3 linked regions of the Arabidopsis thaliana genome follow. The protein of the gene in region 2 purifies or fractionates together with the protein of the main gene of each other region. This does not show direct contact. Each region holds a gene or a part of one and is shown on either strand. Other genes may lie near its edges. The genes, in order: APP1, AT3G18860 and IVD.

Evidence for each region.
Region 1: the proteins of AT3G18860 (region 2) and APP1 fractionate together in Arabidopsis thaliana (co-fractionation; one large-scale study listed by BioGRID). This does not show direct contact.
Region 3: the proteins of AT3G18860 (region 2) and IVD fractionate together in Arabidopsis thaliana (co-fractionation; one large-scale study listed by BioGRID). This does not show direct contact.

Annotation. Positions count from the first base shown.
Region 1 is NC_003075.7:17,322,511-17,330,756, forward strand, and holds APP1 (aminopeptidase P1), read left to right. Parts: upstream 1-4,106; 5' UTR 4,107-4,177; coding exon 4,178-4,270; intron 4,271-4,409; coding exon 4,410-4,473; intron 4,474-4,572; coding exon 4,573-4,712; intron 4,713-4,801; coding exon 4,802-5,086; intron 5,087-5,164; coding exon 5,165-5,560; intron 5,561-5,644; coding exon 5,645-5,731; intron 5,732-5,816; coding exon 5,817-5,881; intron 5,882-5,989; coding exon 5,990-6,056; intron 6,057-6,132; coding exon 6,133-6,267; intron 6,268-6,367; coding exon 6,368-6,448; intron 6,449-6,545; coding exon 6,546-6,600; intron 6,601-6,695; coding exon 6,696-6,800; intron 6,801-6,929; coding exon 6,930-7,001; intron 7,002-7,089; coding exon 7,090-7,214; intron 7,215-7,301; coding exon 7,302-7,451; coding exon of another isoform or gene 7,452-7,469; exon of another isoform or gene 7,470-7,704; coding exon of another isoform or gene 7,705-7,834; coding exon 7,835-7,873; downstream 7,874-8,246. Other genes in the region: AT4G36750 (Quinone reductase family protein), read left to right, coding at 2,132-2,724, 3,477-3,705; AT4G36770 (UDP-Glycosyltransferase superfamily protein), read right to left, coding at 7,707-8,246. UniProt on the Arabidopsis thaliana protein: Catalyzes the removal of a penultimate prolyl residue from the N-termini of peptides, such as Arg-Pro-Pro. Aminopeptidase that binds to the auxin transport inhibitor N-1-naphthylphthalamic acid (NPA).
Region 2 is NC_003074.8:6,498,205-6,506,450, forward strand, and holds the start of AT3G18860 (transducin family protein / WD-40 repeat family protein), read left to right. Parts: upstream 1-3,463; 5' UTR 3,464-3,569; coding exon 3,570-3,635; intron 3,636-4,073; coding exon 4,074-4,405; intron 4,406-4,721; coding exon 4,722-4,825; intron 4,826-5,042; coding exon 5,043-5,111; intron 5,112-5,321; coding exon 5,322-5,382; intron 5,383-5,596; coding exon 5,597-5,736; intron 5,737-6,157; coding exon 6,158-6,347; intron 6,348-6,521; coding exon 6,522-6,583; intron 6,584-6,759; coding exon 6,760-6,848; intron 6,849-7,325; coding exon 7,326-7,398; intron 7,399-7,478; coding exon 7,479-7,538; intron 7,539-7,634; coding exon 7,635-7,781; intron 7,782-7,868; coding exon 7,869-7,907; intron 7,908-8,010; coding exon 8,011-8,048; intron 8,049-8,133; coding exon 8,134-8,220; intron 8,221-8,246. Other genes in the region: AT3G18840 (LOW protein: PPR containing-like protein), read left to right, coding at 1-30; LPAT5 (lysophosphatidyl acyltransferase 5), read right to left, coding at 1,325-1,767, 1,872-2,002, 2,083-2,636.
Region 3 is NC_003074.8:16,621,417-16,629,662, reverse strand, and holds IVD (isovaleryl-CoA-dehydrogenase), read left to right. Parts: upstream 1-4,619; 5' UTR 4,620-4,814; coding exon 4,815-4,925; intron 4,926-5,275; coding exon 5,276-5,359; intron 5,360-5,442; coding exon 5,443-5,500; intron 5,501-5,606; coding exon 5,607-5,731; intron 5,732-5,810; coding exon 5,811-5,855; intron 5,856-6,078; coding exon 6,079-6,127; intron 6,128-6,247; coding exon 6,248-6,357; intron 6,358-6,450; coding exon 6,451-6,527; intron 6,528-6,645; coding exon 6,646-6,696; intron 6,697-6,789; coding exon 6,790-6,854; intron 6,855-7,058; coding exon 7,059-7,213; intron 7,214-7,301; coding exon 7,302-7,342; intron 7,343-7,427; coding exon 7,428-7,482; intron 7,483-7,593; coding exon 7,594-7,650; intron 7,651-7,857; coding exon 7,858-8,004; 3' UTR 8,005-8,211; downstream 8,212-8,246. Other genes in the region: AT3G45310 (Cysteine proteinases superfamily protein), read left to right, coding at 1-14, 99-363, 441-572, 657-792, 922-959. UniProt on the Arabidopsis thaliana protein: Involved in degradation of the branched-chain amino acids, phytol and lysine for the supply of carbon and electrons to the ETF/ETFQO complex during dark-induced sugar starvation.

The sequences.
Region 1 (8,246 bases), on a different chromosome or scaffold from region 2:
TACTAAATATATGATATATGGTGCTAGTTTTTTTTTTCGTTTTAAAAAATGCTGATATTGTATTTTATTGTCTGATAATATATATCTATATATATACATGTAAATTTTTTGTACTTAATTTAAATAAAAACTCACTATATAGTGTGCATTCACATAAAAGATCATTTCTATATTTATAATAGTTAATTGTTGGAATTCGTTGGTTTAAAAATCCAATAGAATTCCATGGATCCTTCTGTAGTGGATTAATAGGCATGATATCTTAAAACAGCTAAGCCTTAATCTTTAGTTGTTTAAAATAACAATTAAAGATTCTCAATTACTCGATTAAGACACTAATCACCACCACAATCTTTACGATTAAAACATTGAACGGCAAAACACAACGTGGACGGTCCAAAAATCACTCACGTGGAGTAAAAATTAGATAAACTTTCCATAAATATAAAAACAGTACAATATATTGTCTCTCTTTGCCACTTTCGAGGTCCAACCTGTCTCTGGTTCCTCTACTACATCACATAACACGATTAGAGCTTTAAGCACATGGTTCGCAACTAAACAGATCTTGTCATTAGCTCCTTAGTTTAAGTTTATAAATTTCCATAAATAGTTTTCGTAAACGTGGCATTGCTAATTTGCTATGAACACAAGATTCGTCACCGATGACAGCTATAAAAGAGGAGGCTTTTCTAGATTGCTCTTGGGTTTGGTCCTAGATTCGTGGGGTTTGAGTTTTTAACATATTTTCAAAAGAAAATTCTCTTAATTAGTCTTAATTTATTGCTCTAAGTTTACAATATTCTTTCTATTTTGGTTCTTGCAGCTTTAAGCGCGATCTTGTATTATTTTCATGGTGGTCCAAACTAGTACCTGGCACAACATAGAAGCATATGGTATTATTTAACTAATAATGTTTTTAATCAATCGAAGTATACATACATTAATTTATCGGTTGATATAAAATTATATTTCCTTTTCCAGACATTAACCAATCAGATAAGATCTACATTAGCTCTAACTAACCACAGTATAATAAATACCAAATTTTTAGCATGTTCGATTCAACATTTTAAAGTACTTCTTCTTTAACATTAATCTACCAGTAGCGTTTGAAATTTCAATTACTTATAACCAATAGTTGAAATTTGACTTTTGGTTTAACTATTAACTATTATTCTCCAAAGATATGCTTCGCTTTTCTTCTAATTGTAACATTATGATTGATAATTTTCATGCAACTCCTTTTCTCTAGATCGTAGGTAGGAGGATATTAGGTTAATTTGACTACGCTAGAGATTTAAATTAGTACGCTTTCGAACAAGTCAAAAGACACCATCGGGTTAGCCACTAAGAAAGCAATCATCATATACATCAATTAATTATAATACTACTTATATACCTGTACTATATACACTCATGCATAAAAAGTAAAAACGATTCTCTCTTTATCAAATTTAGATTCTGGATCGTTAAAAAGTAGTAAAAAATGAGAAAACTTTTACAAGATAAATTTGATGAGTCACCCTCATCATATTATAGTTAGAGGCTAATAATTTATAAATAATGTCAAAACAATTTTCTCTATGTACATATTATTACGGAGCGATTACATATATCATTCACAACTTTAGTCATTTTGTTAACCCTAATATAATGTGATATCAAAACGGAATATTAATAACGTTATACATTACAATTTTTGTAATAAATTTTGATTTTAATCACTAATCAGTTACTTGTTGCCATTATATTGATCGGGGATCCCTTATTGATAGGCCCAATATGAATGAGCTCAGTTATATTTTGGGTTTTTTCTCATAGCATAAATGGCCCAATGAAAGCCTATTAAGTGATCGAAGGTCAGACGTTGGACTCCTTGTATGAAACCAACAGACTAGGCCCAAATTATCAACTCAAAATTGACCGTAACATATACGGCGCCGTTTTTGTAGACCTGAGTGTGATAAAGTGAGCTGTTAAATCTTCACTTAACCCCATTTTTAATCACGAAATTAGAGTGGTGATTAAAAATACAACTAAAGTTGTTTCAAGTGATTGTTTTCATTTATTTAAATTTTAAATTAATCCAACTTATCGTTGACGGAAAATTTGGGAGAGAATATTCTCGATGGGGAAAGGAGGAGGTTGTGTTCCGAGCAAGAAGAAGAAGCCGGCCACCACCGGCGATGGTCCCGGAATCGATGATGATAACGACGCTACTAATGCTCCGATCCAAATTGACGATGATCAAACCACCATTGACGGCGATCGAACAACGGCGACGAATACTGGAGGAACAACAACACCAGCGATTACTACTACGGCTGCTAAGATCTCGTCACCGCTCAAGATCTTCGTCGTGTTCTATTCGATGTACGGACATGTGGAGAGCTTAGCGAAGAGGATGAAAAAGGGAGTGGATAGCGTCGAAGGAGTGGAGGCGACGTTGTACAGAGTTCCGGAGACGCTTTCGCAGGAGGTTGTTGAGCAGATGAAGGCGCCGGTTAAGGATTTGGAGATTCCGGAGATTACGGCGGCGGAATTGACGGCGGCTGATGGATTTCTGTTTGGATTTCCGACTAGGTATGGTTGTATGGCTGCGCAGATGAAGGCGTTTTTTGATTCGACGGGATCATTGTGGAAGGAGCAGAGTCTTGCTGGTAAGCCTGCTGGATTCTTTGTGAGCACTGGCACTCAAGGAGGTGGCCAAGAGACCACTGCGTAAGCTTTTGCTTCTTTCTTATACTCTTTAGTACCATTTGCATTGGTTCTAAAGTATATTAGTTGAATTTGGAGTACAAGTATTGAATTGCTATAATCACAGAGTCACTATGTGAAATAAATGCAACCTTGAATTTGATGTATATAGGTGGTTGCTAAAACCTGAAAGGTTGTTGTGGTCAGGACTTTGTCTAGTACTTTAGAGGAAACTTGTCAGAGATGGCTATCATTCTGGTGAATTGCTTGCTTGATCTTTAATTGCTTTCTTAACTACACCATTGACCATTTCAAGTCCAATCTGGTCACCATTGAATAGTACCCTGGTCTCTCTTTTGGTACGATAGGCTTGCACTTATGCTACGCTTATGTTAGCTCTAGTAAGGGGAGATCTTTAGAACATGTAAAACTGGATTATTTTAGATTCTCACTTTCTCATCACCCAAAGTACCAATTCTATAGGCATGAGTGTTGCCTCCGATAATTTGCATGTGTTTAAGCTCTGAGATAGATTCCTCAATGTATGTGGACTCTCTTTAGTCATCATTTGCACTTAGATATTTGTCTGTTTTACTTCAGCTGATTCACTCGGTTGCTGTGATAGTTTGCGAATATAGAGAAGCATAACAATGCGGAATCTTAAAGCTTTTGCGTATTTCTCCAAGTGTGCAATGTGGATATTTTTATTGCCATCGTTTCCACATTAAAGCTCAGAAACACTTGCTGATTTCCATCTCGTGTGTGTTCTGTTGCAGATGGACAGCAATCACACAGCTTGTGCACCATGGGATGCTATTTGTACCAATAGGCTACACATTTGGAGCTGGAATGTTCAAGATGGACTCGATACGTGGAGGCTCTCCTTATGGAGCAGGTGTGTTCGCTGGTGATGGGTCAAGAGAAGCAACAGAAACAGAATTGGCTCTTGCTGAACATCAAGGAAACTACATGGCTGCAATAGTCAAAAGACTTGCTCAACCTTAAAACAAAAACAAAAATTGCTTCCTCTATTTGTCTCTTTTCATTCAATTCCTCCTCCTGCTAAATAATCATAAAAAAAAAAATCTTCCTTTCTTTTCTCAATTCCATCGAAATTTCTTTCTTTTCTTTATGAGTGTTTTCAGTTTCGCCATTAATGGTTAGTGTGTACATGTTTCTTTATATTATTTGTCTCTTATTTATTCCTTGTTGTAAAATAAAAACAAAATTTCATTACGTGTTCTTTCATTGGAGTTGTTGATTGGATATTTTATCAAAAACTTATAATTTCACAAATCGTTAAAGTGTAGGAAAAAAAAATAATTAGTTGCGTCAGCCATTAGGATTCCTTGGAACACGTAAAGTTTACTAACATAAAACTGTGATATCTGTACTTTTTTATATCTATCTGCTGCTGCATCTGTGTTCTGTTCGTCCTTGAAGCAGTCAAATTCTTCTCTGAACTCCAAACATCGCCATGTCCGAGATTCTCTCTTCGTTGAGGTCACTAATGGCCTCTCACTCTCCTCCTCTTGATGCTTTGGTTGTTCCTTCCGAAGACTATCACCAGGTTTGATTTATTTTCAATTGAATTACCCTTTTTTGATTCATGATCCGATCTCAGATTACTTGATTATACGTCTACTATTACTTAATCATGTATTGTTCATTGATTTGAGTGAAAGTTTCGATTTTTAAATTGTATGTAGAGCGAGTATGTTTCTGCACGAGACAAACGCCGTGAGTTCGTGTCTGGATTCAGTGGAAGTGCAGGTCTGTTTCTATTTTCTATTGTTCTGGATTCAAATATTGTTAGAATTGAATCGTTGATCGAGAGTGAATTGAATTTGATCGGCGATTATAAATATATAGGTTTGGCACTTATCACGAAGAAGGAAGCAAGACTTTGGACAGATGGTCGATACTTCTTGCAAGCATTGCAACAGCTTAGCGATGAGTGGACACTAATGCGGATGGGAGAAGATCCTCTTGTTGAAGTTTGGATGTCTGATGTTAGTCCTCAACTAATCTTTTGATCAATCCATAAATTTTGTAACTTTGAGATGTGTTCTTTGATTTAGCTTATGGTTTAACAATGTAGAATCTACCTGAAGAGGCAAATATAGGTGTTGATTCATGGTGTGTCTCGGTAGACACTGCGAATAGATGGGGGAAATCGTTTGCCAAGAAGAATCAGAAACTAATCACCACAACTACTGATCTTGTGGATGAAGTTTGGAAGAGTCGTCCACCTTCTGAGATGAGTCCGGTTGTTGTTCATCCTTTGGAGTTTGCTGGCCGTTCTGTTTCCCATAAATTCGAAGATTTGAGGGCAAAGCTTAAGCAAGAGGGTGCTCGTGGTTTGGTCATCGCTGCTCTTGATGAGGTGTGTTTTCGTAGTAAAAAGATCTCTCTTTTTCTCAGTTCAGCTTTGGAATGTATTTTGATTGGGGGTTTGATGCAGGTTGCTTGGCTATATAATATCCGTGGAACTGATGTTGCTTATTGTCCCGTTGTTCATGCGTTTGCAATCCTTACCACCGACTCTGCGTTTCTCTATGTTGACAAAAAGAAAGTGTCTGATGAGGCAAACTCTTATTTCAATGGGCTCGGTGTGGAAGTCCGGGAATACACAGATGTGATCTCAGATGTGGCCTTGCTTGCTTCGGATCGACTTATTTCTTCATTTGCCTCTAAAACTGTCCAACATGAGGCTGCAAAGGATATGGAGATTGATTCTGACCAGCCTGATCGGTTATGGGTGGATCCTGCTTCGTGCTGCTATGCACTTTACTCCAAATTGGATGCTGAGAAGGTCCTTCTGCAACCATCCCCTATATCCCTCTCAAAAGCCTTGAAGGTAATAAAGAATGATTTTTGAAACGAGTGATCTCTTTCGACGTGTTTTAGTTTATTCATACATGCTTATTCTCACTTATGTTAGAACCCGGTTGAGCTCGAAGGGATCAAGAATGCACATGTTCGTGATGGTGCTGCTGTTGTCCAGTACCTTGTTTGGCTCGACAATCAGGTACTGAATAAATGAAAATTTTGTTTCTTGAACACTACTACTATATTGATGATTGATTATGTCACTCAACATTGTGAAACCATAGATGCAGGAGCTCTATGGAGCATCTGGATACTTCTTGGAAGCAGAGGCAAGCAAAAAGAAACCATCGTAAGCTTCTTCTTTCTTCTTTGTTTTGTTTTTCCCGATTTTGCAAACCATTTTTCCATGATTCATGACGCAATGAGTTTTTCTTCTGCAAAAAACAAAACAATACAGAGAAACCTCTAAGCTTACTGAAGTGACTGTGAGCGATAAGCTGGAAAGTCTTCGAGCTTCAAAAGAGGTAATGTTTACATATAACATATTAAACTTTTGTCTTTCCATGAAAGAGATGAATCACATTTCTCGTGTGGTTGCAGCATTTTAGAGGTTTAAGCTTTCCTACTATATCATCGGTTGGTTCAAACGCTGCTGTTATTCATTATTCACCAGAGCCAGAAGCTTGTGCCGAGATGGACCCCGACAAAATTTACTTATGTGATTCAGGAGCACAGGTAAATATCACATGATTGAGTGTATACTATAAGCTTACCTTGTATTTATCAAAGTCTTTGCTCTATAATACAATTTCGTTGTTGTTGTCTTTCTGCAAAGTATCTCGATGGAACAACTGATATAACCCGAACGGTTCACTTTGGAAAACCTTCAGCTCATGAAAAGGAATGCTATACTGCGGTATGTACTTATTGATGATAACCTTTTGAATATTACATTCTTATTTATTTGGAATAAGCATATTTGCTGATATATGTTCAATGTGCCGCATCCTTAGGTCTTCAAGGGTCATGTTGCACTAGGAAATGCTCGGTTTCCAAAGGGAACAAACGGTAAGTTATGATCTCCTTGAATTTTGTTTCTGTACCAACTTGAGATTTGGCTATTGATCTTTTATATGTTGCATTGGCTATATCTGAATTTACAGGCTATACACTTGATATTCTTGCTCGAGCTCCTTTGTGGAAGTATGGGTTGGATTATCGACATGGTACTGGTCATGGAGTTGGTTCTTACCTTTGTGTTCATGAAGGCAAGTTATGAGATACCTCTTTTTATTCTCTCTTTCTTATAAATATCGAGTCATTGATAATAATGTTTTTGAAATTCTAGATGTCATCAACTAACTTTCTGCGATGATTATGTATGGTTTAATATGTAGGACCTCACCAAGTTAGTTTCAGACCGAGTGCCAGGAATGTACCTCTTCAAGCTACCATGACTGTAACAGATGGTCCGTCTGCAACAAAAACTCGGTAGTTCTCCTGTTCGGGTTAACCTTGATCATATTCTAAAAGCTGTCTATATTCATTTATTTGCAGAACCTGGTTACTATGAAGACGGGAACTTTGGTATTAGGTTGGAGAATGTTCTTGTTGTCAATGACGCTGAGACTGAATTCAATTTTGGCGACAAGGGCTACTTGCAATTCGAGCATATCACTTGGGTACTTACTCGTTGTCTGTTAACTAATACCGTAGTTCTCATATCAACATGCACATCTGAGTAACTCTCGATCTCTCTCTCTCTCCAGGCACCATATCAAGTGAAACTTATCGATCTAGACGAGTTGACACGGGAAGAGATTGACTGGTTAAACACATATCATTCGAAGTGCAAAGACATCTTAGCCCCATTTATGAACCAGACTGAAATGGAATGGCTCAAGAAAGCTACCGAACCTGTAAGTGTATCCGCTTGATCCCCTCCCAGATTTCTCTTAAATAGATGTTTATCAATGGCTCCTTCACTTCTCTCACTAGTAAACCAAAAACATTCAAGTCATACACAGATTATTTTCTTTAGTTTTGCATTCAAAGTTCATGTTTCTGGACCACATGTCTTTATTCATAGCAGATTCTCAGTTGTTGAACCATAAAGAGAACATTATGTTTATCGTTTTGATATTATTAAATTGTCAACTTTTTGCTAATTAGTTTTAGGTGAAGTAAGCAGATGGAATGTGAGTCATGTTGAGAGCTTCTTCTGCTGTCTTCTTCAGTTCCTTAACATTCTTTCTCATCTCTTTTCCTTCTTCTTCATCCATCACTCTCTTCACCATTTCAGCTATCACCTCCTTCTTTACAATCCCATCTGCAACATTAATCTGCAACGCAATCTTTAGCTCCCCAGAAACCATCCTCGCGTTCATCTTCTGCTCTGAGTACAACGGCCAAGCTACCATTGGCACACCATTCACAATACTCTCCAAAACTGAGTTCCATCCGCAGTGAGTCACAAACCCTCCTGTTGACTTGTGTGCCAGAATCTCTTCTTGTGGTGCCCATGTACGGACCACCAAACCGATGTCTTTGGTTCGGTCTAGAAACCCGTTGGGTAAGAAATCGAGAGGTTCTGTCTCATTCTTGGTCTTGTCGAACATTGATGCCGATGGGTCGTCTTCAGCCGGTGGTCTGACTACCCAAACAAATCTGTGGCCAGTCAGCTCCAAACCGTAAGCCAGCTCGTTTGTCTGCTC
Region 2 (8,246 bases):
TTGTCTGAAATAGATGAAATCATGATTTAATAGACAGAGAGGTATCAATTTTCTGTACATAAATTATATATCACTCACATGACCGAAGGTTGATGATCTCTGTCTTTTGTGCTTTAACGGTCAACATTTTTGTTTTGTTTATTATTTTGAAGTAGGCGGGAAAAAACAAGCAGCACCAGCACAAAGTGAAGAAAACAACAACAGAAACAACATCAGGCAGAGACCAACAACAACAACATCAATATAAATCAGTATAAGAAAACCATGAAAACCAAACCACAAAGCGAAACCTTCCGAAAGAAAACCTACTAGCAAGTTGCAGCAGCTAATCCACACTTCTCCGGGAGTTTCTCAGCGAGGTCAAAGCTCGATATCACGGACATTGATACTGTCTTTATGCTTACAGAGGCACTGGAAATCGGCCTTGGACAGGGCATTGCAGCAAGGGCCCAAGGGATCAATTCCGGTGGTCATTGGGTTCCTAGCCTACACATAGGGCTTGCAAGAGTTCAGACAAGTAGAAGTCATACCGCAGAAGATCTGTCCGGTTGCTGCCGTGAGTGTAAAGGCAAGAACCAAGGTAAGAACGATAAGCTTAGTGTTTGGCTCCATGGCTTTATATACTTTGAGAGAGTATTTACCTAAATGTCTTTTCAACAATTTGTTGGGTTTGCTCTTCTCTTAGCTTAGGATAGGCTATACTACCTGCTTCATAGGGTTTATATTGAGAGAATAGGCACGTAACTGGTGAGATTTAGATAAAACGAAATTATAATTTTAACATGAAAGCATGTTCACAGGCTTTTGATATTATTCAGTATCCATATTCATGAGCACATGTAGTGGAAATATCGAATGTCGAAAATGGTCTATACTATAGAGTAAGAAGACCCGTGAGACATTGACATTACTATGTTCCAATGTGATAACTCGTCACGGGTGTTTTGGTGGCCTCAAATTTTCTTAGGGGCTCAAATTCAATTTAATTGCTTTCACATGCACAGTATGTAGGTACTTGTACTTGATATATCTTGGAAGCATTATCCCAATTTGACAATTTATTAATGAGAATAGTTGGTGGTCGGCTCTGTGAGTTATGTAGCAGGCAAAATGTGTCTTATGGTTGTATTTTGTGTTTTATTATCCCAAGCTATGATCTAACATGTGTAGATGAATGTATGAAGACATTCTAAAATAGAGCTAATCATATATTGCAGCTTGACCTCACATTGCATAAGTAGAAAGTGGATTGATTCTTAACCCCGAAATACAAAAGTAAAAAATATTCCATCATGTGAAGTTGTGAACTGAAAGCAATGAAAGTTTATTTGTTTACTAATTTGAGGGAATTTTTTGCAGTCTCAACAAGTGGAACAGAACGAAGATTGAAATGCGTAGCAGAGGTCAAGTAGACACAGGCCAAAGAGACATAAATCCTGAACCAAATCATTGATGAGAAGAAGGTGAGATGTGTACAGATGGTGGTGAAGGCAATCACTGCCAAACAGTTTATGAGGTACTTCTTTGTGTTGAACTCTTTCTCTGTTCCTTCGTTAGGGAAATGACCATTGGAGTAAAAGTCATTGAGCAGCTGGTCTTTGAGCTGGAATGTGTTCATTAACCAAGCATTGATGTCCTTTTCTTGATTTGGGATTTGGGTCAGGTTGATACGACGGATGTGGATGTGAACTTCTGATGGCTCAATTCCATAAACGTTGTCTAAGAAAGATGGGCAGCGGGTTTTATAACCGATGGTCACATCATAAACTGCAAGTGCAATAGTGTTGCATCAGAGTTTGCGTTTTTCAAGAAGAGAGGAAAGGCCTAGGATCTTAAATCACTGATGCAAACCAGCAAAAGTATAGACAAACCTGCGTCAAGTGAGCAACTCAGTTCTTGCAAGCAGGAGACGAAACCTTTTGTCCTGGGAAGCAGCACGTTGTTCAGTATCGGAAGGCCATTTTCAGCAGCAAATTTCTTACTCCTTTGGCATTTAGCCTCTCTGCATAAAGTTCCATTGTAAAATGCTTTTAACTAAAAGGTCTCTAAACAAGAATGATACTCCAAAGAAAGGAAACGTACGTGTAATCTGTGCCCTCGGGGAAAAGAGCAAGCCATAAAGCGTCTCGGGGATCCTTAAAACTCGAAACTATCTGTCTCAAGTTTGCTTCATCGACTTCCCATCTCCTCTCAACTGGAATAAACTCAAAGAGGTGAAACGCCCAACCAAAGAGAGGTAATTTCATCAAACTACTCTTAAGCACATATTTGATATTCCCAATCTGGCCTTTACGCAGTGCAAGATCCCAGAAGTACATCCAATCAACTTCTGTTCGGTGGTTTGCAATGAGCAATACTCGATCCTCGCAAGGAACCTTATCACCAGAGAAGATAACTTTGGTTTTGTTAATCTTCTCAAAGAGGAAAGGCCACAAGGCGAGCCACGAGCCAAAGAAGAAGGAAACACATTTACGGCTATAGCGAATGCTGAAAAGCCTCAACACTACAGCTGATAAGAACCCCCAGAATATCAACATCATAAAAGCTGTTGAAACTAACACCATCAGACATATTATACCTCTTAACACTCTAATCAGAGACAACTTATCAGAATTTGGTACACTCTTTTTTTCCATTTTATACACCTTAAGATAATCTAATTAACCTCCCCCTTCTAGTCTTCTATTCTTGATGCAATGAATCACAAAGTTCATGAATTTCCTGTTACCAGAATCACCATCAGAGCTCATATGGTTGAACACAACATACTTCACCTGCAGGTAATGATCAAAGACACATCAAAATAAGAATCGATAGCAAAGTACTTTATCAACAGAAAACGAAAACAATGTCTTGTAATTTAATAGACTTATTCAAATTCATACAATCTGATTAATGTTGGATTAAAATAAAGAAGAAGCTTGTATTCTCAAACACATATATACATTGTCTAAAACAAAAACTCTCACCAAGATAATCAAGATTCAAGCACAAATCTCAGTGAGGATTAAAAAAGCCAATCAAGAACACAGCATTTGTAAAATTTATTATTGGAAAAAAGAAATTCAGACAGAGAAAGGAACCAGATAGAAGAAGACAGCTTACCATGGAACTGAGCTTCCAGGTTTTATTTATAAACAAACAGTGCAGAAGAAGAAGAATTTAATGGCCGAGAAAAATATCATGAAGGACTACGATCGTTTTGTGAAAATAGGCTCAGAGGTTGTTGCTAATTACGGTCTATGCCACTTCTCGTAGAAAGTAGTACTCTTAGGAAGGTGAGGAAATTTAAACCACTGTCCCCTCCTTTTTCGTCATTATTAAATTCGACACGTCATCGTGTTTCATTGTTCCCTTTATTCAGCTTATTATTATTTTCAGTCTATCAATTGGGCCGGGCTTTGAAAGCCCACAAAGGTTATTTATTATACGTTTATCCTTATATAAAAGAAAGGAAATAAGAAATTAGTTTTTCTCCTGCAGAGTGTTTCTCCTTCCTCAAGTCACTTTTTGAGTCGCAGCAATTTGGCGTTTGGTATCTCTCAATCTGCTGCTTCTCCTTCTCAGTCATGGTCATGGATATCGATTTCAACGAGTACAAGCTCAGGTGCGAGCTTCATGGCCACGATGATGATGTAAGATCTCTTTGCTAAATCCACTTCTTCTTTCTACTGTTTTGATTTCTCGTTTTCGTGATCGATTCTACTCTAGATTTTGAAATTAAGTCTTGTATTCAGTAGGGTTCAGCAAAATTCACCCTCGTGATTCCAATTTCACTGTTCCGCTTTTGATCCAGGGTTTTTCAATTCAATGAGCTGATTTGATAGTTAGTGTGAAGCTTTGTTTTGATTAGTTTTATTATTAGGTTGACTTCTCAACGAATTTGTACTCAATTTGAGAATTTTATCTAATAGGGTTTGATGTTTAACCTTGCGTGCCAATGGCATTAATATAGATCAAATTTATACAATTTTTCGGCAGGAGTGTGATTGTCTTTATGCTATTGAGCTTATGCAATTGAATAATAACTGTGATTGTGACAATGGAAACTCATGGTTTATCAACATCTTCAGGTTCGTGGGATTTGTGTGTGTAATGATGAGAATATAGCTACTTCATCAAGAGATAGGACCATAAGGGTTTGGTCACTGGATCCATCTGATAAGCGCAAGTATACCTCCGAGAAAATTCTGCTGGGTCATACTAGCTTTGTTGGGCCACTTGCATGGATCCCACCAACTGATGAATACCCTGAAGGAAGACTTGTCTCTGGGAGTATGGATACTTTCGTTTTTGTTTGGAATCTGATGAATGGAGAGAATATTCAGACATTGAAGGGTCATCAGATGCAAGTCACTGGTGTTGCTATTGATAATGAGGACATAGTTTCATCTTCAGTTGATCAGTAAGTCCTCCTGTTCATGTAATTTCCTTAGTATGACATTTACCAACTGTTTAGTCAATAATGCCTCTTACTTAGTATCCAGTGAGTGTACTAGCCTGCGGTTTTCCTTCACTGTTTCCCAGGAATTGTATCACATACAGGATATTATATGAATCTTAACCGTAGTTGTAAAGGTTTTATGAGTGTTAATTGTGTGCATTATTGTCTTGAGTAGCTTACTAGCTTTAGTAATACTGGGGTAAAGAGATCCATCAAATTTTGATTTACCCTCTACTGTTGTGTAATGTAACTTACATTTATTTATTTTTATTTGTAGAACCCTGAAACGATGGAGAAACGGTCAGCTTGTTGAATCTTGGGATGCACACCAGTCGCCTATCCAGGCAGTGATAAGGCTGCCATCTGGTGAGCTCGTTTCAGGTACATGATCCAGCTAAAGCTGTCATTTGATGCATTTGTTTCTGTTTTTTTTGTTGTTTTCTTGCTGCCATGGACTTCCTTATTCGATTGTATTTTCTAGTATGATCGTTTTGCAAGCTTAGGTTAAATGATTTTTTGGTTGTTCTTAAGATGCATATACTTCTTTTTGATTAGGCTTGACGGCATATTTTTCACTGATGTTACTTGTACTTACCAGGTTCAAGTGACGCCAGTCTCAAACTCTGGAAGGGTAAAACGAGTCTGCAAACTCTTTCAGGGCATACAGGTGAATTCATTACTCTCTCCCAAATTTCGTATCTCTCAAAATTTCCTTGTCAATATGAGAAACTGCATACCGGAAATAAGATAGAATCTGATACTAGCTGCTCTAAGATATCTTATCTTGTGAAGTGCCAAGACACTGGCCTGTTGTCAGGGATTCCTTGTTATTGGAGAAACTATTGTCTTATACAAGTATTTTTATTTTACAATGCAGATACTGTTAGAGGGTTAGCTGTGATGCCTGATTTAGGATTTCTTTCCGCATCACATGATGGGTAAGTTATTTGCTTCCAACAAACTCATGCCTTACTGAATTTCATTGTCCAAGTGAATCCTTATGTGCTTAACTCGAATTGTGTTGTCTTTTGCATGACCTGGATAAGTTTTGTGATCCGGGGATAATATGATACTTGAGTTTTCTCTTATTTATCCTTTCATGTGTTTGTACACAGCAAAGGTTGTAAATCACTATTTTATTTTTTCTAACAGTTCAATCAGGTTATGGGCACTAAGTGGCGAAGTTCTTCTTGAGATGGTTGGCCACACCTCCCTTGTTTATTCAGTTGACGCACATTCGTCTGGCCTTATTGTTAGTGCCAGTGAAGATCGTCATGCCAAGATATGGAAAGGTGATTACGGGTTCCTTAGTTTCTATTGATGCCTTGGCTGTTCTTCACTTATGTTTCACAGTTTTCTAGGTTATATGAGGTCTGAGATGTTTAAATTTGGAAAATATGTCTCCACTTTTCAGTATGTTGCTCGCTCTTAAAGTTTTCTTTCAATAATAAAGATGTCTATATATCATATTTTTGTGGAAGACGTGTTATAAATTTGATCACTTAGTTGCAACCTATGGAAAGTTAGTTGTTAGTATGTCAGACAGTAATCAACTGATCAGAAACCAGTTTGAAAGGCTCACGAAGATTGGTCTGCAATAGCTGTTATAATAGATATCACTTGCGAAAAGAGACTGACATTTTGGTTTAAAGCATGTTTAGATCTTATAGGTTGATCTATTGTTCTTACTTTGTTATTTTTGTTTTGGTACAGATGGAGTCTGCGTTCAGAGTTTGGAACACCCAGGCTGTATCTGGGATGCCAAGTTTTTGGAAACCGGAGATATTGTGACAGCATGTTCAGATGGAGTGGTTCGTGTTTGGACAGTACGTCATGATGCGATTGCAGATCAGATGGAGATTGATGCCTATGATTCCCAAATTTCTCAATACAAACTAAGCAGGTAATCTGATCATTTATGGTGATCTCTATTCTTATCGACTAAATTCTATGTCCATTGAGTTTTTTTTCTTCACGTGGCAATGCATATTATATGACCTGCTGACGGGGTATGCTTTCTTGTCTTTTATGCTCAAAATATAACTGCAAAGTATATGCGTGCTGTTCTTTATCTCAGGAAAAAGGTTGGCGGATTGAAACTTGACGAGCTGCCAGGGCTTGATTCTTTGACGTCACCAGGTACCATTTATTATCCAATTAATTGTAATATTAATGTTTCGTACGGGAGAAAGGCTAAATTTTAAAGAATCTCAAGAGAACACAAAGATAATTGATAGTGTCTGGCGATCAAATTTGAATAGATTAAGCTGGCATTCTTGTAACATCATCCTCTCTTATTTGATATATGTTCTCAGGTACCAGTGATGGCCAGACAAAAGTAGTAAGGGAAGGAGACAATGGTGTTGCTTATGCATGGAATATGAAAGAACAGAGATGGGACAAAGTAAGTAAACAGAATGAACTTTTATCTTTTTTTTTATTTGTCGACTGCATTTCGTTTTTGCTCTTGACCTGAATGCGGCTTTGCTATATATTAGATCGCATGCATGAATATACAGATAACTTCCCTTTGAAACAATTACCTTGAGGAATATTTGTTACTTTGTTCATCGAAAAGTTGCCATCGGATTAGGGCTTGTAATTTCCACGAATGAGCATGCTGTCTGGTCATAAATTGATAGCATGTACTGCCAGCAATTTGCCTTTTGCGAGGATTTTATTTAATGTGGCAACCCATACCTGAGAGGAAAATTTCATCTGATTTTGACTTCTGATCCTCCTTCGAAGTAGCAATCTCTTAAGTAGATAGCAAGTAAATGAGATAGATTTCTCTCTAACATTTGTTTGCATATGAAGGATTAAACATTGGCTTTTTAGTGTGGTAGAATGTTTTGAGTTCTCACTGCATGCCTTTTTTCAGATTGGTGAGGTTGTTGATGGCCCAGATGGTGTGGCTGATCGTCCAATTCACGAGGGAGTTCAATATGATTTTGGTTAGATTTTGACCTATTATGGAAACTTGAGAATCTCTCAAAATCGAAGAACAAAATTCTTAGCCCTTTTTTTTCTCTAGTTTTCGATGTTGACATTGGTGATGGGGAACCTATCCGGAAGCTACCTTACAATCGATCAGGTACCTGAATGCTCTTACTGGCCTTGTTTTATTACAAGTGCAACCACAAGAAACTGCTTCAGTTTTTGATACTTCAAATCTTTTCTTGTTTGGCAGACAATCCTTATGATGCAGCTGACAAGTGGCTTCTAAAAGAGAATCTCCCCTTTGCATATCGGCAGCAAATTGTTGAATTTATATTACAAAATTCTGGGCAGAAAGACTTCAACTTTAATCCATCTTTTCGTGATCCCTTCACCGGCGGTATAAAATTTTTGAAAATAATTGGTCTGAAATTTTGTTTTTAGGATTTTATTTTAATTTTGTGTTTTGCCTTTTATTGTGTAACAGCAAATGCTTATGTGCCTGGGCAAGCATCTCGTACAGCTGGTATGAATACACTGTCTGTGTCATTTTCACATAATACTTTCAATTTCTTCATTTCTTGTATTGTTCTTTTGCTGCCTCATGCTCTGACTCTTTTCTGTTGCAGCAACTCCGGCAAAACCTTTATACAAGCACATTCCAAAAGTACGCTGGTTCTCTTTCTTTATTAGTTATTACTGTTTAATGTTTCTAGCTTTTTGATCCTTTTTTCTTCCATAACTCTCTCCAGAGAGGTGTGCTAGTTTTCGATGCTGCTCAATATGACGGGATTCTGAAAAAGATGACAGAGTTCAATACTACTTTACGATCTGACGCAGTAAGCTTTCAGTATCAACTTTAGTC
Region 3 (8,246 bases), about 10 Mb from region 2:
TGTTGGACATTTAGGTAAAGTCTATGATAAGATTCTTTCAGTGAGATTTCTCCATGTAAGCAAGATCACTGATATGTATGATCCAATTCTAACTTCAGCACAACTGGAGCTCTTGAAGCAGCTTACCATCAAGCATTTGGAAAAGGAATATCTTTGTCCGAGCAACAGCTTGTGGATTGTGCTGGTACTTTCAATAACTTTGGTTGTCATGGTGGACTTCCTTCTCAAGCCTTTGAATACATTAAATACAACGGTGGGCTCGACACGGAGGAGGCTTATCCTTACACCGGAAAAGACGGTGGCTGCAAATTTTCAGCGAAAAACATCGGTGTACAAGTCCGTGACTCTGTCAACATTACCCTGGTAAAGCCTAGTTTGTAATTGAAATCTCACTTTAGCTGCAAACATTTTACATTCTCTAATATATGAAAACATTATAGGGTGCAGAAGATGAACTGAAGCACGCGGTCGGGTTGGTAAGGCCAGTGAGTGTGGCGTTTGAGGTTGTACATGAATTCAGGTTTTATAAGAAGGGAGTTTTTACTAGCAATACATGTGGTAACACTCCAATGGTGAGTACTTTTCTGCTGTAAACCACAAAAATATTACAATTACCAACGTTTAGTAAGTAAACCGGGTTTTTTTGGTGGCAACAGGATGTAAACCATGCAGTGTTAGCAGTTGGTTATGGAGTTGAAGACGACGTCCCGTACTGGCTTATAAAGAACTCATGGGGAGGTGAATGGGGAGACAATGGCTACTTCAAGATGGAAATGGGAAAGAACATGTGTGGTAAGTTCTTTTAACCAGCTTTGATTTCGGTTTAGATCATTAAGTTAGCATAGAAGAAATAAAATCGAATCGGTTTGGTTCGGTTAATTCTTCTCTATCCCATTGATTTTTTTCCTTTGATTTTGGCAGGTGTTGCAACATGTTCATCGTATCCGGTTGTAGCCTGAGGCTGATGTTTAAACCCGTTTACACCTTACAAGGGACTGAGGCTTTTGGTTACTTGGGATGAATGGTTGAATTGTTGTGAATTTATATCACTAGGGACTTCGGAGTAATTGTTTTTTATACTTGTATGGTTATGTTTCCAAATAATATGGTTGACACTCAATAGTCGACAGAAAAAAGAAAACTATTTCCAGATAATGTCAAGAGGCCTGACTGCCTGAGACTGATGTTTAAGCCCGTTAACTTACAAGGGACTGAGGCTTTTGGTTATTTGGGATGAATGGTTGAATACTTGAATTGTTATAGATTTATATCACTTGGGACTTGGGAGTAATTTTTTTTAAGAAATTTATATGATCTAACAATGGATCCAAAATACATATAGAAACTAGTTATGAGGTAATGTGTATTTGAAATTACTTAAAAATATTATTCTCTTATCTTTTACCTATGGATTCTTTTTCATCCAAAGATAGAGTTTGTCAAATTCTCTCTCTCTCCCTCCAATAGTTAAAGATCCTTCTAATCGATTTTTTTCTCCTTTCGTGAGATTGGATCTTTCTCCCTTGGAACTCTACTATCGAAGATATCTCTATTGTTTATGAGTTGTACTTTTCTCGATTTTGTGTAATTGTTTTCCATGTACTTGTATTTTTCTATTTACCTGGCAATCTTTCAATATGCCACACTTTTGTTTCTTTCGATATGCTATTTTACAAAAATTCATGAGATCTATCTAAATTCCAAGTTATTTCATCTTCTATCTCTTCATTGGAATTCCACCGTCGTAGATATCTCAAGTTTTTGTATCGAATTTTGTGTAATCTATTGCACTAATATCTTTCCGTTTAACATATTATATTTTTGTTTTACATAAGATCTTTCAATATGTCATGGCTATTGTTTATATAGACATGCTATTTTCATAAATACATACGAGTTTGTTCAAATGCAAGTTGTTTCTTTCATTATTTTTATTTGATTCATGTCACTTCTTAAAATTACATGGTTTTTTTCTCCTTTCCATTAATCTTTGTCATTAGATGACTTTTTTTCACTGAACCTTACGTTGAAGTCTCCACCACCAAAAACAAATGCATCAGTGCAAAAAACTATAAATTTACAAGGTTAATTGTCCTTTCCTCACCTTTTCCCCACCACAAAAAGAGTCAGTTACCCCAACAAACTAACCATTATTAATTTATGTGTAAAATTTGGCTAGATTCTAATATTACCCTTTTTATACTTGTATCCAAAAAATATCGTCAACATTCAATAGAAAACAATCGAAAGAAAAAAAAAGAATACTTTATAAATTTATATATTAAACTGATTCAAAAATTAACTCCCAACCTAAAAATATATTGATTTATCGAAATATTAATTTTTTGAGTATTAATTTATAGAAATTTTGTTGTAAACATTTGTTTTGCATGTTTTTAATCTCTCTTTTTTACATCAAAATGCATTTTAGAAATGTATAAATCAAATACTTAAATTTATTGGGGTTATACAAAAATTTATATCAACGTATTAAAAGGTTATTTTTGCATTCAACCTAAACATTCGTACTACCAAAATCATGTTGAAAGGAAAAACCAAAGTATTGTGATAGAAATAAGTTGACAAATTTGTTGTGCATATTTTGTGAAATAATATGTTTGGTTTGAAATAATTTTGATTGTTGAACAAACAAAGATTAATACAGTACATACATTATATATATATATATATATATTATTGCTATTTCTATAAATGTGTGATTAATTTTTCCGATAGGAGCCGACATACTTCATAACAAAAATGGTGAATAAAGAAAGGTTATTTATTATGGTTCTGCCGAATTAGTAAATGATGGTTCTTAGGAGATCACTTTATGATTATGGATATATTGACATAATGGATGACAAACTCGTGGCTGAATGCAAAGATAGCCATGACGATCATCTGGGTGATAATGGATATATTTATGTATCTTCGCGACTTTGCATATCTATGTGGGTGTAGATGGTACACCAAAAAGTCTTTGTTCGAGACTCATCTGAATTCATGCATCTACTAACTAATTTTGTCGTCATAAATATGGATGTGAATGAGGATGATAATGAGAAGGAGTATAAGAGGAGAATTAACTATTAATAATATAATATTACCTTTTTAGATGATATATTAAGAGAAAAACTCAAAGTCGAAGGAATAATGTAGAGTTAGCAAAAATAAAACGACAATGATAATAAGCAAAGATATATCAAACTCTCGTTTTCTCATGCATGTGATTGTGATATATACCAGTCTTTCGAGTACGACACTAGATAAAATTGTTCATGTTTTAGTGACACTATTAGGAATATCATGCACCATTAATTTGATATGTTTGCTAACCATAAGAAGATACGAGGATCTACACTGGAGACCTACTAATATATTTAATATATCTAAGAAACTTTTCATTAAACCGAAGTGGAAATCTCTCAAACTTCCAACTTTCATAGCAAACAAGGCTTCATTTACCCAAATTCGAATGGAGTAAAAATATTTCGCACATAAAAGTAGAATTTTACAGAAATATCCTTTAAAATGCATCTCCATATGATACATTGTATCGCATTATGACGACTAAATCTCTCAAACTTCCAACTTTCATAACAAACAATGCTGCACTTACCTGATTTCTAATAGTTAAAAATATCTCGCACATAAAAGTGGAATTTTACATAGATATATTTTAAAATTCATCTCCATCTGATACATTGTATCGCATTATGGCGACTAAATCTCTCAAACTTCCAACCTTCATAACAAACAATGCTGCACTTACCTAATTTCTAATGGGGTAAAAACATCTTACACATAAAAGTAGAATTTTACATAGATATTCTTTAAAATTCATTTCCATTTGACACATTGTATCGCATTTTATGGCGACTAGTTTTTAGCATGTAACTTTTACAAAGTGTTGAAAATGAATATAACTCACTATTTAAAAAAAAAAGAATATAGCTTACTATACCAAAACTAAATTTTATTCAACTAACATGTTGTACATAGTCACCGTAAGTGAATACACATTGTGTTAACCAGGGAGAAGGATCAGATCAGACTTATCTTCTCTAAATAACCTCAATGAGTCAATGTTAAACACTTTTTTATCTAAAAGATTTTCTAATATATAATACAAAGGAAGAATACAAGTATGGAATACGATTTGATACAAAAAAAACTGGTAGAAACTTAAAATACCTGTGGATAAGTACGATCTATATTTGTGATCCATAATTTTAAAGTATATTATATATAACCTCATTTAACGTCGTTGTACATGAAATGAAGACACATTACATATACACTGTCTTCTACAAATATGTTATTTAACTTTCACAAAATATTATATTGACAATTTTAGTGTTACATATTCATGATGAGAGTTAATATAATATAATATTTCCTAAACACTAATGTGTTCTTCTCTCATCAACACTCACAACCAATTGTTTTGACTTGTAGTATATACATATCTTCTAATATCAAAAACTTTACTATAAATGAAAAAATAATTTTTTTTTGTCGATTTGAAAATGGTATAATAGAGCAGTGTCAGTGGTATGGAGGAGTAGCAAATAGCAAAGTGGTATACGGAACTAGATTAGATGGACCAATGACTCATTGCTCATATCTTCTTCTCAATTCCAATTTTGTAATCCTTATCTCAAATTAATTTCTATTTTTATAACTACTTAATCTCAATTAGAAGAAGCCTGCTCTCTAATAACAAAAAAAAAAAGCCGTTTGGGATTTCTTTTACACGAACACATTCTTCCGATCTTTCTTGTTTTTAACTTACCGGTAATAACGAAGATATGCAGAGGTTTTTCTCCGCCAGATCGATTCTCGGTTACGCCGTCAAGACGCGGAGGAGGTCTTTCTCTTCTCGTTCTTCGTCTCTCCTATTCGACGACACTCAGTTACAGGTTCTCTCTCTCTCTCTCTTCTCTCCATAAATCTGTGATTCTCGTTGTGTATCTGTGTGTCTGTATATTTGCCATCTTCTCGTTTGAGAGCCGAAGGAAATTGGTGTTTGGTGTTTTCTAAGTGTAGCTTTCGACTTGGATGTGTTGGGGTTTTGACATGCCAATTCGAAATGATCTGAGAGATTTGTGTCAGTTAATTTGATGATTGTGTGTTGTGGAAAATGGAATTGGGAACAACACTTCATCATTTGATTTAACTTTGTTTCAGCTGATTGACATAAGTCGTTTATATTTTTTCTTGAATGCATTTTGCGACCTAATTGTTTTTGTGACTACCATTGAAACTGCAGTTTAAAGAAAGTGTATCCAAGTTTGCGCAAGATAATATCGCTCCTCATGCAGAAAGAATTGATAAAACTAATTCATTTCCAAAGGTTTGTTGTTAACTCCTTTCTCTCACGGTTTTTGTTGCTTATATATCTCATCAAAATCTAATCTTTCGTACTTGTTTAACTAGGATGTAAACTTATGGAAGCTAATGGGTGAGTTTAATCTCCATGGAATCACTGCGCCAGGTAGATTTCTCTCCTACCACAAGATCATATGCTTCTGCTATTAGCTCAGTCATGTTTTGTTTTATGTCTAGAACGGTAGCCTAATCGCATGTTCCTCTACCTGCAGAGGAATATGGAGGGCTAGGTCTTGGTTACTTGTATCATTGTATTGCAATGGAGGAAATCAGTCGGGCCTCGGGTTCAGTTGCTTTGTCTTATGGTGCTCATTCCAACCTTTGCATCAATCAATTGGTAAATATATATCTCACAAACTATGTTGCAGTATCTGAGTTTTTGAGTCTGAGAGAGAAGATTTAATACTATTTTACAGGTGAGGAATGGAACTGCAGCCCAAAAGGAAAAGTATTTGCCAAAGGTACGGTTTCATCTTGAGCTTTTGTATCATGGTCTGAGCTTACGGATATTGTCACTGCTATGCAAATGGTTTATCAGCCAATATCACCGGTGTTGGAAATCTCACCTTATAGAAAGACCGTTTTTTATTTTCTTCATCTGTGAACTGTTGCATGTTTCTCCTGATCTTTTTCTCTTAAAATGTCGTTAGAGTTTTAGCTAACTATTGATTCACTGCTATGAAGCTTATCAGTGGAGAGCATGTTGGTGCTCTTGCAATGAGTGAACCTAATGGTAAGATATATATTTTTCGGATCAAGAGTTTGAGATTGTGAGAAGGAAACACATCAATACATACATATAGCCGATGCTTTGTTCTGATGTATACTGATTTGACTTTTTATTTCGTTACAGCTGGTTCAGATGTTGTTGGCATGAAATGCAAGGCTGAGAAGGTAGATGGTGGTTATATACTAAATGGCAACAAGATGTGGTGCACTAATGGTCCATCTGCTGAAACACTGGTAATATAGTTTAGCTCATATGTTAACTTCTGAAACTGATTTTCTATAATTTTAACAGTTTTCTACCATTTGTTGTTTTTTTGGTTTGATCAGGTTGTTTACGCGAAAACTGATACAAAAGCAGGTTCCAAAGGAATCACGGCTTTCATCATAGAGAAAGGAATGACCGGGTATGTGAATTCTCAATCTTGTTGAAACTGACTTTCTATGATCTTTAGTAAAGAACTAATGGAACAAATTCAGAGAGTGAGTTCCTTAAAACCATTTATTGTTGTGGTTGCTTTGCAGATTCAGTACTGCTCAGAAATTGGACAAACTAGGAATGCGGGGAAGCGATACGTAATCCCCATTCTCTCAAGATAAAAATATCTGTGTAAATTAAATCCCTTTTTCACTGTCTCTTTCTCTCTAACATCTGTCTCTCCTGAGCAGGTGTGAGCTTGTTTTTGAGAATTGCTTCGTTCCAGAGGAAAATATTCTAGACAAGGAAGGAAAAGGTTTTGATTGCTGAAACTCTCTTAATCTCTAGTTTGATAGATAATTTGCATTGCATGGTCTGGCTTTTCTAGTTTTATGAGGATCTAATATCTGAGATCAAAATGGTAATGTTGTGCTACATACACGCCTTGTATATTTCTTGAGTCGAGGCTACTATCCCCATCTCTATACTTGTCTGATGTACATAGTGTTTGTACGTGCAGGAGTGTATGTTCTGATGTCAGGTCTGGATTTGGAGAGACTTGTTTTAGCAGCTGGGCCCTTAGGGATCATGCAGGCATGCCTCGACAATGTTCTTCCCTATATTCGCCAGAGAGAACAATTTGGTCGTCCAGTTGGGGAATTTCAGTTTATACAGGTTGAGCTTGATCATCCTTCTCATAAACGTTTCCGAATATCTCAAACTTTAATCATAAGATTCCTAAAACAATTCTGTTGAATTTCAGGGTAAAGTTGCTGATATGTACACTGCATTACAATCTTCAAGGTAGAAAACTTCTCTCAATACTCTGGAAATTATTTTGTCCATAGAAATGTAGCTCAAGCAAAAAGTTGTTCCTTTGGCATATCAGGTCATACGTTTACTCTGTTGCGAGGGACTGTGACAATGGGAAAGTTGACCCAAAGGTAATTTGATAATAAATAACCATCCCTTCTAGTTTCCTGTTATGAAAATAGTCATGCATCACCACCGCAACCTAATACACCTGCCTTCTTGTGTATTTGCTTATTGTCTAGGACTGCGCCGGAACTATTCTTTGTGCGGCCGAGAGAGCAACGCAGGTCGCTTTACAGGTCAAGTACCCTTATTTTCCTTCATACTTAAAGTTACTGTGACACTAGCTCATAAAGCTAGATCAAACCCGAAACCAGTTTTAAGCGTTGTCTCTTGTCTTTCTAATGGTTACCAGCAAAGCAAACCTCCGAAGGGATCATAACTACACATATTGATCACCTAGTTACCTTTCCTTTAAGACTAAAAGATTTGGTTTGATGTTGCAGGCGATACAATGTTTAGGCGGAAATGGATACATAAACGAATATGCAACAGGACGCCTTCTAAGAGATGCAAAGCTATATGAAATCGGTGCAGGGACAAGCGAGATCAGAAGGATTGTCATCGGTCGCGAGCTTTTCAAAGAAGAATAGAGATAAGTCTGTTTTCTGCATTGCCAATGCGACATTTTCATTCTGTACACGTATATATAATTCACAGTGTCCTTAATAACCTCACAATAAGAAAAATAGCTTCAAGCAATCCTCTAGAAACCATATCAATTATTAGTCACATTATGTGTGACATGTTATCACGATACCAGCATGCCAATCTAACACTGACACTTCTGGTTAAACTTACTATTTTGTCATTTGATTCGTCAATAATTAGTAAA